Linked DNA regions of Kluyveromyces lactis. The protein of the gene in region 1 interacts with the protein of each later gene in a pairwise test. Links are inferred from orthologs where the notes say so. Each region holds a gene or a part of one and is shown on either strand. Other genes may lie near its edges.

The links. The genes of interacting proteins can lie anywhere in the genome.
Region 2: the proteins of MUB1 (region 1) and RPN4 interact in binary tests that used the Saccharomyces cerevisiae proteins (3 or more experiments, as listed by UniProt). The link is inferred for Kluyveromyces lactis from reciprocal best matches to the Saccharomyces cerevisiae genes MUB1 and RPN4.

Annotation. Positions count from the first base shown.
Region 1 is NC_006038.1:1,122,837-1,127,953, reverse strand, and holds MUB1 (MYND-type zinc finger protein MUB1), read right to left. Parts: upstream 3,289-5,117; coding exon 1,411-3,288; downstream 1-1,410. Other genes in the region: CLD1 (carboxylic ester hydrolase), read right to left, coding at 1-979; VPH2 (Vph2p), read left to right, coding at 3,756-4,373; SRT1 (ditrans,polycis-polyprenyl diphosphate synthase), read right to left, coding at 4,472-5,117. UniProt on the Saccharomyces cerevisiae protein: Involved in the determination of the onset of polarized growth. Required for the ubiquitin-dependent degradation of RPN4. Cooperates with UBR2 to transfer ubiquitin from RAD6 to RPN4.
Region 2 is NC_006039.1:372,146-376,836, reverse strand, and holds RPN4 (stress-regulated transcription factor RPN4), read left to right. Parts: upstream 1-2,389; coding exon 2,390-4,084; downstream 4,085-4,691. Other genes in the region: KLLA0_C04125g (glycosyltransferase family 32 protein), read right to left, coding at 1-1,129; phosphoglycerate mutase family protein GPM3, read right to left, coding at 4,357-4,691. UniProt on the Saccharomyces cerevisiae protein: Acts as a transcriptional activator of a number of genes encoding proteasomal subunits. Binds to a PACE (proteasome-associated control element) DNA sequence 5'-GGTGGCAAA-3'.

The DNA.
Region 1 (5,117 bases):
AAATACCGTATGTGTAATGGTGCAACTTATCAAAGTTTGGATGATGCAGACCGAATCTACGAGCTGTCCACCCACTAACTAATTTTGAGCCCACATGGCCAGCATTTCGAACCAACGAGAACGGTGAAATATTTTGATCCCATAGCTTTAAAAACCACCATGGAGGAGGGGGCATATCTTTGTTCCTGGAAATTCCTCCAGGAGAGCACATGAATAACTTTTTGAAATGTTTATACTTGTTGGCATAAAGCGAGAATATGTATGCACCCATCGAATGTGCAATCACGTAATTATTTTCCCAACATGATATAAGTCCTTTTTTATCGAACCATTTGTGCAAGGCATCATGGAAGTAGTCTTCTACCGCAAGATACGAATCCTTTGGATAATGGAATGGGAACATTGGTCGCGAAGAGAAGCCATAACCAGGTAAATCGATGGCATGTACCACCACGTTTTCTGATAGCAACGCATTAAAGTTTTTCAAGTAAAAACCTAAACCAGCACCATACCCATGAACCAAGATTATATGTTTCAATGGTTTTCCATCACTTTCTGGCCGTATCGGTGTGATTTGAAATTCGTTAATGTAATTACCAGCAGCATCTATAGGAGTCTTGATGATTTTGGAAGAAAACCTCGCAGATGGCTCAGGATAGTACGGTAACACTGATAATAAATCCTCTTGGAATTGTTCTTTATTGATATTGTATTGTTTATAATCTTTAAGAGACTCTGCGAAAGATAATGGGAACAACTTATGCAGATTAGTAACAATCTGAAGCAGGGGAAGACCAATAGGAGCAGTAGATTTACGTACTGTATTAACACGAACAGATTTCTTATTCGTGGAACCTACATTACCAGTACCAGCAGTGACGCCTACATGCTCTCTTTGTAGTTTATTGAACACCCCAATGACTTCTCTGTAGCGTCTTGCTAACCTCCAAAGCTGGGAAGAAGAAGACTGGCTAGACATGTTTTAACGCTTGATCGCACAACAAAGTAAACGGATTCTAGTAAAACTTTTAATTATAAGGTAAAGCTTGTAACAAACGATCGTCTCCAGATCAATTGAGCTATAACTCTTTCACCACTATGAAGAAAAATCACATAAAAAAACCGTGAACCTGAACAGGAACTTTCAAAAGTGCGTTCTTAGTGAAAAGAAAAAAACACCAAATGTATCTTCACTGGCTCCTGAACAACACCTTATATTTCAAAACAATAAAGTCATCTCATGACCATCTATTCGTAAACCAACTGCTCTTCTCTTACTTTTACGTATGTTGAGCCTTTCCGATTTCTCAACATCCCAACAAATTCGCAAAAACCATGCGATGCTGAAGAGGGAAATGGTGTTACCCGACCATTACGTTATCATGAGTAGACACGTGACCGTAAAGATCTTTAGGTGTCCTCGCTAAGGTGATGATCGGTATCACCTGGTGTTCGGTACCGCTCAGTGGTTGTATTTGGTGTTGGGATGATCGTATCTCCAAAGCCTGTTGTGGAAGGAGTAGTTGGAGGGATTGTTGTAGCTTCTGTTGGGTTTTGTTGTTGCGGTTGATGATGATGGTGGTGATGATGGGTATTCTGATGTTCTGGATCCGTGTCTGATTCAGAAGCGTCTCTGGTAGGCGTTTGAACTCCTGTACTATTTCCAGTGGTGTTTGTTGAGTTTGATTCTTGACACCAGTACCTATGAAATTCCCATGATTTCAGTTGGCACAGTCTTGAGCAATATTTGGTGCGCTTACACCTTCTACATTTGGGGAACTGTTTTGGATGATCTTCCCATTTCCCACAGCTGAAATTAGCACACTGCCTGACTCCTGTAGCCTCATGTTTCCTGCACGAGTTTCTCATTACCACGGAGCTCCAGTAGTGCACGATTTCGTTTAAGGAGCCCTTGACGGTAAACCTTTCTACAAGGGCGAATAGGTTCATTGTGTCACTATTGAAAATCTTATCCCAGTCATCATCGGTCAATTCTTTCGAGAATTCATGCTGCTGGCAATATTCCTTGAATTTATCATGTAACGACTCCTCCTTCCTCAACCTGAAATCAAATATATCGACATTGTTGTTGTTATATTCTTCATCCTCTTCGGTGTCTTTCACAAGGCAAAGATGCTCAATCTCTTTGAAGTATTTTTCTATTAAAGTGAGGTCTGGTGAAAGGTCCATCTTATCCTCCGGAGGTTCATCAGTTTCTTCGTCGTATTCATCGTCGTCTTCATCATCCGCTTCTTCTTCGCCGGCAACGTGCAACGTTAGGGGTGTCATGTCCAATTCCATATTTTTTGACATTCTGATCTTTGCATTCTCAAGAATCGGCCTGAACGAAAGTGTACCGACGAGATTTGTATTCTGTAGTATTGGCTTCACCGCAGTGTTTTTAGTCAAGAATGCCAGAAGTTGTACAGCCCATGTAACATCATCTAGCTCTGGAATCACTTTACCCAAAAAGAATCTTCTTGGTGGCAAGATTATGACATTTTCCAGTGCAGAGCCCGGTAAAGGTACACATAACTCTTCTTGAGCAAGACTTTGCCAATCTGTATCCAATTCTGTAATAAAGTTAGGTTTCAAATGTAGGCCAGCTACATTCTCCAAGTCAAATTCAAATTGGTTCTCGGTGGGTCCCAATAACAATTTCAACCTTTCCATCGATATGAAATCCTTATAGTAAGAGTCCTTGGGATCCACTTTCTCATTTGATTTCCTCAATTCATCGTCCGTAAACTGGAATAGATCCGAATCCAAATCTGCTAGTTCACTAAACGTAAAGGGAATGGCCGTATTGTTGATGAAATCGAAATTCTTACAATAGATCATATAGTTATCCAATACAGTAGCAATAATCGGAATTATGCCGGACTTCACCACTTGCTCTCTTATACCAAGTGTACCTCTCGTACCAGTCAATACCAAACACTGATAAGCCAACGTCCATTTCCATGATAAATATGCCAGATGTCTGTCTCTCTTGACCGTTTGTAATGGATTGGATTGATTCTGTGCCGAAGATACCATAACCTGTGGCAAATTCGTTATAGGGATATAACATTCGTGTAAAATTGATACCAACCGCTCCAACGCACCGTCACGAGACATTGCCTCTCTTATCAGGGTCGACGTGGAGCATAGGAACGCCAGATGGTTCAATGAATTAATTAATGGTAAATCAGAAACATTATCCAAAGCTCTTCTATCGTAAACGGTCTGAGATATACTAACGGTAGCACGATTACCAGTCACCGATCTGTAATTGGTCTCTCGCATTCTTTAAAAACCGTAATTCCAGCTAATGCACACCAGATATGATTATATTATCTGGAAGTAGGTATTTATCGCCACCCTTAATACAGGCTTCTATCAATGGTTTACTTTGCTTGTGTCAGATTAAATCCTTTTATCGGTATAATAATCAGCTCTGAGAAGTTGAAAGGAAACAAAAGACACTGAAATAGTACAAGTAGCACGATCACTTACTAGCCGATCTATCTATCAACAGTACAGTAGCAGCAACTAATTTCGTGATGGTTTCTTTCTTATCCAGTGCATATATTGTATTTGCCATTGCATAGACAAATATCAACAAAAACATCTCAGTTAAAGATAATTAATTTAAAGGTTTAGTGCTAATGAAAGAAGAATGGAACTTTGAGAAATTATGAATGAAATAGCAAACGAAGTTATCTACTAGGGTCTGTATCTACTGCAAGGCTAGCAATAAGACAATTCTACATATGTTTGACATTACCATCGACGAGGGGCTCTTAAGACAAAGACTTGAAAAGTTGAAAGAAGATCATCGGGCATCGTTAAGTTTACAACAAAATAGCATATCATTTGAGCTTCTATCGGAATTGTACCAACAGTTCTGGAGGGATGATGCCACCGTAAGTATGAAACAGCTATTGAAGAGTGGGAAACTTCGATACAAGGAGAAAAGAGTTCCTGGTGAGGGATACTCTGAGTCATTCAAAGCTGAGTTGGAAAATCTGAAGGCACTGCAACAGGAGAAAGAGTACCAAGAGATGCTCAAGCGAGATTCATTGCATCTGGCCGGCTCAACAGCTGACAAGGAACCCTCAATTGCACAGATTAACAAAGAGATTAAGGAGCAGGTATCGGCAGTAGTCAATGTATTATTGACAGTGTTCGGAACCATCTACGCTGTTTGGTACGTGACCAGAACAGGATGGGATATTCACGTCAGGGTATTGCTCTGTCTATTCAGTGGCCTTCTAGTGTTAACAGCAGATGTGGCAATGTACAACGTTTATAACAGGAAGATTGAAGAGGCGAGAACCACCGAACGTAAGAAGAAAGTTACTAGGAAAGTGGTGAAAAGGTTAGTGTAAGAAAGAGACTTTAATTTCGGTTATACAGTCAGTATGAAGAGGGCAAGTAAAAGTGTAATATGGATAGCCAGAGGTATGGGGGAAAATAAATTCTGATTTCATTTCCGGTCAACGGAAACGGCCAATGGTGCGGCAGGTAAAGAGTCTAGTGCAACACGTTTAGTTCTTTTCAAAGTTTCAATCGGTAGAGCTCCAGATATTTTTGGAAACACGCGAGTTCTAGTACGAACAGGATCTGGCAACTGACTGGCGTTTTGCCAAGTTTGGTAGAAACTCCACTTCAACATTATCCAATATAGCCTCCAGAAATTAAAATCTGGCCATAGACAGTCGACAAACTCGATAATACTACCTTCATGGACCTGCCATAGCATATAATCTGACAACCTTGTGTGTCCACTTGTTCTAATCAATAGATCACATTTATTGGAGTACTGTTCGAAATACATGTTATCAGTCAAGGCTTGTTCTGTGATATCCTCGTTAGAATTGATGCATTTGTCGGTGGTAACCTGCATAGAATGTGCAATATCGTTACGCGATGTGTAGGGCAAGGCAAGGTACAACACGAACTCTTGTCCATCACGAGTCAATTTCTCTGCGTTACGAATCTTCTTGAGCAACTCTTCACTCAATAATGAAAGATCTCCTACGACTCTTAGTCTAATTCCGTACAACTCATCCTTAGCATTTGTTGCACGTTCAGTAAACTGATCGATATAATATCCCAAGAGTTCCATGAGA
Region 2 (4,691 bases), on another chromosome or scaffold:
AATTTTCCCATCCAACAGGTGACGTGGGCAACTTGATTCCAAGCAAATTATCTCCTAGGGGATAATTCTCGAGTTTTGAAATTAAATCTAACGGTTTGTTGGGATCCAGAACACACATATGTTTGTTATTGCAGAGAACCTCGTTGCTTGAACCCTGAATATGATCACTGAAGTTTTCGATGTACCACTGGTTAATAGTTCGGAAAAAGCTATCTGTGAATGAGGCCGGACCAGTCCATTCTATGATACCCTCATACCAATTAGCAGAATCCTTCGACATGTTATAGGCAGGTTGAACGTCGAAAAGGTTCTTGTAACCCATTGGGAAAGTCAATACGTTGGTGGATGGATCATAGTAATACAATGCAAGATCAGCTATCTTTGCAACGACATCTACAAACAATGGATGACCTGGTCTACTCGCTAAAGTCCATTGACATAGGTTTATCCTTCTATTGAAAAGGCCTCTCCAAGTACCAAGATCCCGTTCTTCCTCTATACCAATTATGACACCGACATCAGTCTTGGAGAGATCATTTTCAGCCATCAATGTGGCCAACGGACCATCTGTAAGCCAAGCGTCTATGTTAACAGAAGGTGAAGTATCTATATCGCTGTAATATCCACCTTTCGCCAATAAAACGAGGTATCTAAAATAATCAGCTTTCAAGATCTTTCTCGGCAACGTATCCCAGGTCTGAATAATTTCTGGGAACAGCTTAAATTGGGTACGTACGAATTCATCGATTTCATCATCATCGAGGAAATGGTAATTGAATCCAGATTGGGATGACCAAAGCCTCACGTTTTCCTGGAACCTAACATCAAGATTCTGTTTTGATTTCCAAGATTGCCAGATATCTCTTGGAATCTCATTTTGAGAATTGAAATGTGCCAACAGCCGATGCCTCAGTGATCCTGTGGACCAATCTGCCGGTACAGTTGGTGTATTGACGGATTTATCCCTATTCTGGAATGCGGGAATGTTATGGAATAGGATCCAAAATAGGTAAATTGAAACAATGGACAACAATAAGCATGAGCGGGGTCTAAGGTGTTTCATGGGTAGATGAGAGGACAAGAAAGTCAGGTCAACTGGCCTTGGAACATTCTTTTCTTTTTCCTGCATCTCGTTTGTTTTTGTTTCACATTCCTATTGTCTTTAGTTTAAGTTTTACATTTCCTTAGCCTTGGGAATTTGATACACCACAGATCATAAAGATTAGAGAACAAAGGCCATTACCCATCTGAGGGGGAGGGGGGGGTATACTTTCTACCAAAACTACGTAAGTATGGAGTAACATATTCCAAAGCGTACCTACAAAATAGCAGTCGTATTAGAAGAACAAACGATATTACAAATTGAATATCCAGAACCAATAATATCAGAGAGTACTTTAATGCAGAATCAAAAGTAACTTTCAGTCTTGAATCTTGTCTAACAGATAAAGATAAGTACCTCGTCTAATCTAATTGTATAAACCGGAAATACAACTTAGAACTAAGTTAGATAACAACATACCATTAGCACTCATGCATAATTTAGATTATAAAAGAGTGCTAATGGTATGTCTGGCGACGCCTGAAACATTCCGACGGATCATCACGTGCGTAACACGTGACACAATTGTTTTTTTCTTGGCAGGGTAGTCGCATTAGCGGTAGAACAATCTAGAAAGAAAAAGAAAATGGCAAGCTACCAAATGTTACCCGGAAACAGATAGGGAAAGCCTCACCCCGCCTCCATTAAACGCCGGATTCAGCTTAGGAATTACGTGTTGACAAATACATACGAAACGACAGATCGCCTCAATTACCCAACAAACTGACTTATCAGTTGCATGCTGAGGTAGATTGTCATATACTATAGAGAGAGTCTCTATCACTCCATGGAAATACTGCTACTAAATCCATTGAGTTGAAAGCAGTATCGGGTGCTTGTGCACCCGATACTCTAACCTTTATCTTGCTTTGCTCTTGCTCTTAGTGCTTCCATTTGTCATACGAATGTCTCACAGTGACAATTGTCATTTTTTTCAATTTTGTATCTTTCTTTTCATCGTGTTTTACAGTTCTTCATCCTCTAGAAACAGAAATAGAAATATAAAAGAGCCAAACGAGTTTTCGATATATATATATATCATATTGGTTGGTATAGAGGTACATGAAGCAAGCACGAGCGGATTCTGTACTTTGAAATAAGGAGGTAAGGTATTTAGCTCTCTGTACACCGAAGGCCCTCGTAATTAAAGAACCAGGGATTTGTTCGGGAAAGAATACTGGAAACGGCCTTTCGTTACATTTTTAAGGAAGTAAGCTAATAAGCTCTATTATAAATTAGTAATTGGAGCAAATAAAAAAAGAGACAGACAGAGAGAGGAAACAGACCATGTCAGCTGCAGATTTGGAATTGAGAAGGACTTTGACGGATGTGGTTGATGACGAGTTGAGGATCCACAATACGAACCCGATGTCTTTAGATATGGGGTTCGGTGAAACGCACTACGATTCGTTTCCGCAACTCACGAGGTCACAGGTGCATTCATTCTATACCGGGCCCAATTTTTCGTCGGGACACTCGCAACACCAGTATAATATGGGCCAGCTCATGGGTCATGATCTGCATTTGTCTGATGATGATACTGCAAGTGGGGTGTTCAACAAGTACGCTGATCCCAATTTGACCACTTTAGATAAGAAAAGCGGATGTGCTGTACCTGCCACTGGTCCTGGTCCAACCGCAACTACGGGCCCAGCTGCCATTGTGAAACAGGTTAATTTGAATTTAACTCCAGTGCAGCCAACGATTTCACTTAATACGATTACTCCAAATCCTTTCTTACAGTCTTCGGCAAGATTCCCAAATGCCCAACAGATTCCTCAGAATAATCCAAACAACCACCATAATGGTATGTCGAATGGAAGGTTGAACAGCGTCCGTGGGTTTAACTTCCAAACGAGAATTAACAACGAAAACGGATTCGAAGATGAGTTTTTGAATGAGGGTTATGGTGATTTCAATAACATGTACGAAGAGGATGAGAAATTGACCGCTCAGGCTACGTTATGGGATGACCAAAACATGGCGGGGTATTATTGGACAAATGATCAGGATACCCTGTCTCGTTTTGACCAAGAATTCAACTTCGATGATGATCTTTCGGATGAAGAAGAAGAAGAAGAAGAGGAGGAGGAGAGGGAGTATGAGGAAAATGCAGACGGAGGAAAAAACAACACAGAATTAACAGACAAGATTCTGAATGACTTACAGGACGATTTCTCTGACAGTGAGGAGGTTTCTACCAAATCGAATGAGGAGTCGTTATACATGGATACCCAACAACGATTGAACGAAAACCAACAGAGGGATTTATCGCAGGTAACTGTTCCTCGCATAGAGTCAATCAAGAGTTCTGTACTCGAAGAAAATGAAAAATTAGAAGAAGAAGAGGAAGAAGGTGATGATGAGGGTGACGCTATGTTCAGCGAGGACGATGAGGATCCTTTATACGAACCTGCTCTGGTGAGTCCCAGAAGAAAACCAAGTATGGTTATATCTCAACAGAATTCTAACAAACAAAGACAACTTCTCACCATAAATACTCGGAAATCGCATGAGGTCAGTGATAATAAACTGGATCCAAAATCAACGAACACGACAGGGTCTCGTACCATGACTAGAAATAGAGGTAATCATCAACGTGGTAAATCTGTGGATGCCCTACTAAGCGTCGACCGTTCGTATGGATCCTCAAATACACACACACACATTCATCATTCCCACAACCAGAACGATGAGCATATCTGCATGGTGAACAACCCAGTCACTAACGAACCATGTATGAAGAAGTTTTCAAGACCGTATGATTTAATCAGACACCAAAAAACTATCCATGCTTCTAAGAAGAAAATATTCAGGTGTTTGATCTGCATTCAAGAACTGGGATCTGAAGGCTATCAGAGAACCTTTTCGAGAAATGATGCCCTAAGTAGGCATGTTAAAGTCAAGCATAATCTACAAGGTACCGAAGCACAGCGTGTGATACAATACGCAAAGGACAACGTTGAATATCAGAACTCTTAACTGTAAGGGTATTTAGTTTGGCGAATTGGTTTTTTTCTCTCTACGTTTCTTCGACTTGATCGGAGTTCTGCTCATATATGTAATTCTGTAAATACACCTTGATATATATATTTGCTATAGAGTACTCAATATCGGATGGTATACTATATTTTCTCTGTTCTCAACTCATTTTTTTCTTGCCACAGGAGAATGTACCCCAATTCGATGTCTATAGAAATTATTGATTAACATAGAAAGTTTATAATGTGTGCCGTTGACTTGTATCTATATATTTATTCCTTGAATCCTTCCTGGCGAACTAATTCTGCATTGACTTTGGCACTTTCTGGGTCTAAGTAGAATTTTCTAATAAATCTGAAATTATCATCTAGTTCAATGACTGAAGGAATGGCATTAGGAATATTGACTTCCTTAATGTCAGTATCGCTAATGCCTTCTAAAATCTTTAAGAGTGAACGGACTGTGCTTCCATGACCGACTATAAGGCTGTCACCACGTTCCTTCAAGTTCGGAAGAATCATATTTTCAAGCAATGGTTTCAATCTTTGAACGACATCGCACAAAGACTCACCATTGGGCAATTCATCATGAGTAATCTCTTCCTCCA